Notamacropus eugenii: one gene and its partner. The protein of the gene in region 2 interacts with the protein of the main gene of each other region in a pairwise test. Links are inferred from orthologs where the notes say so. Each region holds a gene or a part of one and is shown on either strand. Other genes may lie near its edges.

Region 1 (3,900 bases), on a different chromosome or scaffold from region 2:
TGGTAAAAACATACTTCCTATGGGTAGTAGTGGAAAACGCTGAATAACTTGTGCAAATTAAAATACAAGTTTCCTGTAACTTGTTTTGCTCTGCTCCAAGGGAGGATTGCAATAGAAAATGAAAAAAAAAAACAACCACAAAACACTTTTCTACAAAAGGACAATAAATTGTCATACTCCATCAGTTCTCCTAACGATCTGGTCACTGAACACAGATGGCTCTGGAGGAGAAAGTGAGGCTAGTGACCGTCCTCACTCAAATCGAAGTCAACTGCACGTCATGTCATCATTTCCCTGATGTCATGCTCCTCTTGGAAAACTCAGGACAAACACAAATCCCTCACAGCCTGCTTACCATCGGTTAACCAATAAAAATTATGTTCATGATCATGCAACACTGATATCATCTTTAACTTCAAAGAAAACACCTCAGACTTTCTGTCCACTATAGTGTTTTAAGCTTTACAAAGTGCATTCTTCAACTTTGTGAGGGAGGTAGTGTAAATATAGCCCCATTTTACAAATAAAGCAAGGCTGAGAAGTAAAGTAGGCACGTGGCCAGACTTCAAATTCCTGGCATTCTTAATACTACCATTTATATAATGGCTTTTTGCATATATTATTGCACTTGATCCTAACAAGAGGGGTGGAGAAGGATCTTTATTATCACCCTAACTTTTGAGGATGAAACCGAGGTTGAACGAGATTACGTGACTACTCAGGATAGTTAATCAGATAACAAATGCTGGAAGAACTCGAACTCAAATTTTGAACTCTACCGACTCCCAAGTCTAGCACCTTCCCACCAACCTTACCTCGAATCACAGATAGCAACCTTAAGCAAAGTCAAGGAGACAAATTCAAAGCAACAAGTGACAAGAACACTGAGAATTCACCCTCCTGAAAGAAGGTAAGCTAAGTAACATCAAGTGATCTAACAATTCTCCCAGATGTCAACGACGCTTAGGACAGAAAAAGGAAGGACTCTCCAGACTGTAAAACTAGACGACGCCAGAACTCCCCACCTCTACACCTGGCACAGCTTTCAGACCTTCCTTCCAAGCAGACCTGATTCGGTTGTCCCTTCGCTCAGGGTCTCTCCTCCCGGGTGACCTTCAGAAGCTGGGGCCACCCTTCTCCATCTCTACTTCACTTTTTCCTTCCCTTCCACTTCCATGCCTGTTCCCACTGTTGGCAGATGCTTCTAAATGCCCTCTACTCTACTCCCTCTGTAGAATTCCTACCCACCTTTGAAGCACAACTGCAACACCCCCTTTACCAAGCCCGCCGGAGTTCTCCAGATCCCCCGCTGGCACCCCCAGGACCTCCGGGATGCACCGACCACACACCAGGGATGCGTGTCTAGGAGCCACCTCCTCACCCCCGGACTTAACCTCCCTTAACCTTTGGTCTCTTCTGGCCACTTTCTGAACCCACGCGGGGGGAGGCTGCGATGGCTCCCGGGACCACACCCACTAACACCACGTCGAGAACCAGCAGAAACCGGCGGTCTCAGCCCCCGGCCGGGGGGCCCCGAAAGTGGGAACAACGGAAGGCAGGGACTCCCGCCCGGTCCCCGCCAGCCCATCCTCACTGGAACAGGGAAGAACGGAACGGGAGGAAGGGCCTGGTTGGCCGCGGCCGTGCAGACCTCCCCCCCCTCCCCCCCGGCCCCGACACGTGCACACGCCGAGGGCAAGCCAGCGGCCCCGCCTCCCCCCGCCCGAGGCCGGGCCAACGCAGCCCGGCCCTGCCCCGCCTGGCCCGGCCCACGGAGCTTCTCCCTTCAAGTTCCCAGGCTTCGGAGCGGACCACGAGGCTCCCCTTCCCCGGCAGGTCGGCTGCCGCTCGGCCGGGACCATTGGGGTCCCTCTACACATCGCATCGGGTCGGACTGGCTTCCCCGCCCCCTCCGCATTCTCCCTTCGCCCTCCCCCCGCCCCGCGGGAGCCCGGCGCTTCCAGGGCCCGGCCTCCGCCCCGCCCCCCCCCCGGGCCCTCCCGCACCAACCACTGGCACCCCCTCCCATTGGGCGGTGCAAGCCGTTCGGTCCGCTCCCGAGAGAAGGCGCCAAAAGCTGAGCGAAGACGAACGAGATCGGGAAAGGGAGGCCTGAAGGGCCGACGGGGCAGGAAGCGCAAAAGGAACCCGCGCGGAGGGGTCACGGAACGGGGGAGGCGCGGGGACCGAGCCTTCGGGGGCCCCACCCCGGGACGCGCCGCTCTCACCTCAGGCGCCGCCACCGCCGCGCTCCGCTCCGCTCCAGCCCCGCGCTCTGACCTACTTTCCCCTCCCGAGCGAGACGTAAACAATCTCCTCCCCGAGTCCCGCCCCCACCACCCCATTGGTCCCTCGCCCGGGAGAAGGAAAGTCAGGCCTGGATCGCCGTCTCGGTTGGATGAGCCACCCTCCGGGAATGGGAGAAGGGAGGGACTCGCGGGGCCAGTGGCTAAACAGTCTGTCAATCCTCAACCCGCGTCCCCATAGGAGGAACAGGGGCAAGTCAGAGCCAAGTCTACCGCGCACACTGGCCCGAAGGCCAGAAATTGAGGGAGTAGCCAATTTTTCGGATTTAGAAGAAAGCCCACCTCCATTTCCCAGGAGTCGCGGGGCCGGGTGGCAGGCACGCCTTCGGAGATTTGATTGGTTAAGAAAAGAGGACACGAGCAAAGAGGCGGGAGAAGGGGAGAGATGTTGCTTCGGATTGGCTGAAACGTCCCTCACTCCAGGCGGAAGAAGGGAAGGGGTGTGTGTACGCAGATGGAGGCGGAAGTTGTGACGTGAGGTGGCGCCCGGCAGAATGGAGGCCGCACAGGGTGAGTGAGTTCAGGAGGAGCTCCTCCGAGAGCCTCTCCCGAGACAGTCGCCGTCCCAAGCCTCTTACCTTGAAAGGTGGAAACCACCTGCGTGGTCCGGAGTCGGGGCGGGTCTGCGGGAGCCAGGTGAACGAGGCGCCCCCAGGAAGTCGGCGGCTCGCTCTGCTCGAGTAGCTGAGCATGCGCGAGGAGTCTCCCTCCCGCGGGAGATGAGGGTTCTCCCCCTCCCCGCCCAGGGGTGGAGTCGGGGCCGCCCCTGAATTGAAGGTCTCGGGGGAGCTGAGGCGGAGGGGGCGGGAGTCTGAACTTAGCGCCGGCGTGACTGGGCCGGGCGAGGGCGGGTGGAGGCGCCCCGGAACCCGACTCCCGACGCCTCAGCCGGCCCTGTCCGGCTCGGCGCGTCCTGTCCGGGCTAGTTCCCCCACGTGACCCCGCTCCGTCTGCCCTCCCCCCGTCAGCGGACCCTTCCCCTCCTCGCTCCAGTTCTGGTGTCCACCCCCCCCATTCCCCCGAGGAGCTCACTAGGCGGCGGTCCGTCCAGGCTCCCTTGCTTGGAAGAAGGCAGGTTCGTACACACCCGGTGCGGCTCTTCATGGCCCACGCCGGCCCCTCCTCTTTGCCCCGCCATCTGCCTTCCAGGGTGACCCATGTCAGTCCGGTTCCCACCCTCGGTCCAGTCCCCCTCTCCACCCCAGGCTCCTGTCCCTCCAGCGCCCCCTACGGTGACTCCCCTTCCAGCAGTCATGAGCTGCTTAGGGTTCCCCTACCCCAACTCCTGTCAATCCAGTCCTTTCTCTTCCCTTGTCTCCCCCAGTCTGGCTTGGGGGGAGGATGACGCCCCCACTGGGGTTTAGAATACCTGACGGTTTACCGGAGGTGCTGGCTCACATTGGTCAGGAACTTTCCTCACCCATGCCTGTCTACGCAGTGAAAAGAGTTTTGGGGAAAAATTATTGGAAGATTATTTCTTTTTACATTTCCAGAGAAAAAGATTTTGCTTCCTGTGGCCTTTTCCTTTGATTCTTGATCCAGATCTTGCATCATTTTCCTTCTCTCATCCGAACCAATCTCAGTGATACCGAGA
Region 2 (3,900 bases):
ATCAAATGAAATAATGTACGTAAACTATGTTGCAAAGCTTAATGAGCTCTGCAAATGTCATGGAGAGCAATTATTCCCAGCTCTCTGTCCCTTCCTCTCTCCAGCCTCCGTTCCTTCATTCCTCATTTGTCCATTCTCACCTTCCATCTCTCCTCTCTCCATTTCTTCATACTTCTCTCCATCCCTCCATCCCCTACCTCTCCATCTTTCATCATCCCCATCTCTCCATCCTTCCATCCTCTCTGCCTCTATCCCTTCATCCTCATCTTTTCATCTTTCATTCCCCATCTCCCCAGTCTTATCTCTCCTCCATTCTTTATTTTTCCATCCCTTCATCGCCCATCTCCTCAGTCCTTTCATCTCCCATCTCCTCATCCCTCATCTTATCCTGGACATAACCTCATCTTGAGTTGCAGATTGTCAGAACTAGCAAGGACCCTGCAGTCATCCAGCCCAATTCCCTTGTTTTTACATAAGGGGAAACTGAGGTCTAACAGAGAGAGGAATTTGCCCTGGGCCTGACGCACACAGGAAAGAGACTAGAGCATTGCTTTCCCAACTCCCCTGGGATCCCAGAGCTCTTGCCCCACCCTGGTGCCCCCCACTCTCACCCTGACTGGGAAGCTGCACCTGCCCTTCCGAACAGCATCCTCATCAGCCTGCCATTGGTGCGGGCGGGAAGCCTCGGGGACATAGGCCGGCTTCCTGCGCCGTAGGCTCTGACGCAGCTTGTTCATGGTGCCAGCACCGTCTGGGGACAAGGAGGGTCTTCAGGGTCAGGGGCCAGAGTTGGAGCAGGAGTGGTTGTGGTTCTTAGTTCTGAGCTTGTGGCTTCCTGTAGATGCATCTGCCCAAGCACCATGGGGGAGGCAGCTGAGGGGCCCAGACACTAAACGGATTTATCACTTCTGCTCCTGACTGGGCTCTACTTCCCCAGGTAGGCTGGGAGCTTTTCAAAGGGGTTCTTTCCTATAGACTTTGCTTCCCTTCCAGCTCCCCACTAAGACACCTCCCTCAGTCTCCCTGGCCTCCATGGGCTTTCCCCCAACCCCTCTCCCCACCAGACTGTTGTACTCACTCACCGGGCTCCGTCCTGAAGGTTTGGGGGGGCCCCAGGGCCAGGCGAGGAGGGGCTGAGGACAAACGCTGATGGGCCCTCCTGGGCCTTTCCTGCCCAGACACAGGACCAGGCTTTGAGGGTCTGGGGTTCCCCTATCTCATGGAGCTCCCCTTGCCTGGAACACACTGATCCCTGCTCCACCTCTGTGACCTTTGGCATAGGCCCCTGGAAGGGACCAAGGAGTCCTGCCCCTTTTGCCTTGGCCTGCCTGACTCCTGCCCTGGTTGCTATAGCAACAGTTACCAGGGAGACCATTCCCATGGTTATGAGGCCCCAGGAATGAGGGGGTAGGGGTAAAGACAGGGTAGAGGTAAAGAGGGTATTAGCTGTATCCTCCTAGTTGTCCCAGCTATCTCCCAGGGAACACCCCTTTCCATGGGCCTGGCTGACAGCGGCCCACTTATATCTTAGATAGGGTGTGGGCTCAGAAATGAACATGGCTCATCCACTTAGGGAAAAAGAAGGGGCTCGGAGCTTTAGGGGTATAGAGGGAAGGCCTAAGTCTGTTTCAACTAAGACACACCCTGAGCAACACAGACACTCTCCCAAAGGGACAGTTTCAGGTGACAGAGCAGCAATCCCGCAGGCAGGCACAGTCCCACACAGACAGGCAGCCACACAAACCTAGCACCCAGACACACTGAGAGGCCTTGGAGCTACAAGCGCACCAACATGCAGTCTTAGCCATTAGCCACACATGATCGCAGACACACAAACATACAGCACAGACTCCCGCAGGCAGAATATGGAGACAATCACAGAAATCTACAGTGATAGCCACAGGGTCTAAAATCACACATTATCCCTCACACACAGGCCCAGGGAGAGAGCACCATACCCACAGACCAACAGACAGCCACGGAAGACACACACACACAACCTGCAAAGTCACAACCTGTCTCCCAGCCAGACAAACACACACACAGAGGCACAGACCCACAAGAGTTCCCCAGCCTATCTGGAAGTCACACACACACACGAGGACGATCACATAGGGCACCCAAGACCAGGCAGAGGTATCCGTCCTGCACAGCTGGCTCCGAGGGTAGGGGGCTAGTGACCCTGAAGGTGACAGGTGACAGGGAGACGCCCCCGGCTCTCTCTCTTCACGGGCCTCCAGGATCGGGTCGGATCGGATCAGACTGGATTGGGGGTTGGGGGGAGGCAGGCCCGCATTTTCCGCGGGCGGGGCTCTCAGTCGCCTCCACAACAGCTGGGCTGAGGCCGAGGACAGCCCGAGTGGGGACAAAGGGGAGGGGGCTGGACGGGGCAGGGGGGGCGCTATCTTTGCAGAGCCCCCCTCCCATCCCCGGGCCCCCTCGCAGCATCCCCGTCCTCGAGTCTCCCTTTCTCTGAGCCCTTCTCGGGTCCCGAGTCCTCGGGTCCCATCCCATCCCACCCCATCTCATCTCACCCCATCTCATCCCAGCCCGGCCCAGCCCGGCCCAACTCGGCCCAGTCCCACCGCGCAGGCCGCTTACTGCGCTCGCTCCGCTCCTCTCGGGGGCTGCCGCCGCACTCCGGGACATCCAGGGGCCCCGGCGCCCCCGCCTTCTGCGGACCCCGGTGGGTCCGGCTTCCCTCCAGTCCCGGCCCGGCCCCGGGACAGCTCTGCAGCAGCGGTGCCGACTGACGGAGTCGGGGCACGGGGACGGAGGCCGGGGGATGGTGGGGGCCGCACACGCACGCGCCTGCTCGGCTCCCGGGAGGATTCCATTGGGGGGGCCGCCCCCCCCCCGCCCCAGCCCCGACTCCCCCTCACAGCGCCCCCTTCGCCCTTAAAACCCCACCCCCGTCCCCGCCCATTGGCCCGCCGCCCGCTCTATATGCAAAAGAAGACCTAGCCCTCCCCTCCGCCACGTCCGACCCGGCCGCTTGGCCACGCCCCTTTCCCCCCCACATTGGCCCACCTCCCCTCACTGGCCCACCGCCCACTCAGTATGTGAAAAGACACCGCCCATTGGCCCAGTGCCTGCTCAATATGCAAAACAGCCCCTCCTCCCCCTGCGCTCCTAGACCCCGCCCTAAGCCGCCCCCCGAAAATATTCGTCAGTAACAGTTGCTTCTCCCAGGCGTTGCCCAGCCAATCCCCGGGTTCCGCTCCGCGATGCCCTTTGACTCCAGGACTCCTCAGTCCGGGAGCCCACAATGGCTTTTTTTTGTCCGTCCTCACACCCCAAGCCCCCCAAGTGGGGGGCACATTTTTAGATGGCGGGGTGGTTCAGGGTTCTGGGGATCTTTCCGGTCAAGTCTGTTCTTAGGGCCCTCACCCACCCCTGCAGCCTCCCGGGGCTTGGGGGAACTGTGGCTGCGGAAGAATATGGGCCTTTGGGAGGTGGGTGGGGTTTTTTGGGGCAGCTCCAGGCACCCCTTCATCCTATGGGCTTGGCAACTGCCGCCAGACCTGGGCATTAAGATCCATTAGCGGGCTAGCCAGTTCAACCAAGCTACCTTTGGGCAACAGTAATGAACACAGAAGGGACCCTGCCTTAGGCACCACCCATTACACCCCCAACCCTCTTCTCTAGTCCCCAGGGCCCAGCTGTGCCCCCTGGGCGTCCCCTAGTCCCACTAGGGGGAGCTGGGATATGGGGGGGTAGGGGCCAGTCTGTCAGCTAGCAGAGCAGGTGGCCAGCACGTGGGGGGGCAGGGAGGTTGTTCCTTTGGCAACAGATGGTTGGGGGCTTGGGCTTTTCAGGACTAGGGGGAAGGGGGAGGAACAAGCCTGGCCAGGCCATCTGCACCTGGAGTCCCTACTCCCAGTAGCCTCGCCCATCTTT

What was found.
Region 1: the proteins of NUMBL (region 2) and SPSB3 interact in binary tests that used the Homo sapiens proteins (3 or more experiments, as listed by UniProt). The two-hybrid records come from large-scale screens. The link is inferred for Notamacropus eugenii from reciprocal best matches to the Homo sapiens genes NUMBL and SPSB3.

Annotation. Positions count from the first base shown.
Region 1 is NC_092872.1:48,809,047-48,812,946, reverse strand, and holds the start of SPSB3 (SPRY domain-containing SOCS box protein 3), read right to left. Parts: upstream 2,369-3,900; 5' UTR 2,346-2,368; coding exon 2,229-2,345; exon of another isoform or gene 2,007-2,228; intron 1,675-2,006; exon of another isoform or gene 1,249-1,674; intron 1-1,248. Other genes in the region: cytosolic Fe-S cluster assembly factor NUBP2, read left to right, coding at 2,801-2,816.
Region 2 is NC_092876.1:30,927,600-30,931,499, reverse strand, and holds the start of NUMBL (numb-like protein), read right to left. Parts: upstream 2,873-3,900; 5' UTR 2,650-2,872; coding exon 2,602-2,649; intron 1,286-2,601; exon of another isoform or gene 1,171-1,285; coding exon 1,083-1,170; intron 848-1,082; exon of another isoform or gene 752-847; coding exon 612-751; intron 1-611. UniProt on the Homo sapiens protein: Plays a role in the process of neurogenesis. Required throughout embryonic neurogenesis to maintain neural progenitor cells, also called radial glial cells (RGCs), by allowing their daughter cells to choose progenitor over neuronal cell fate.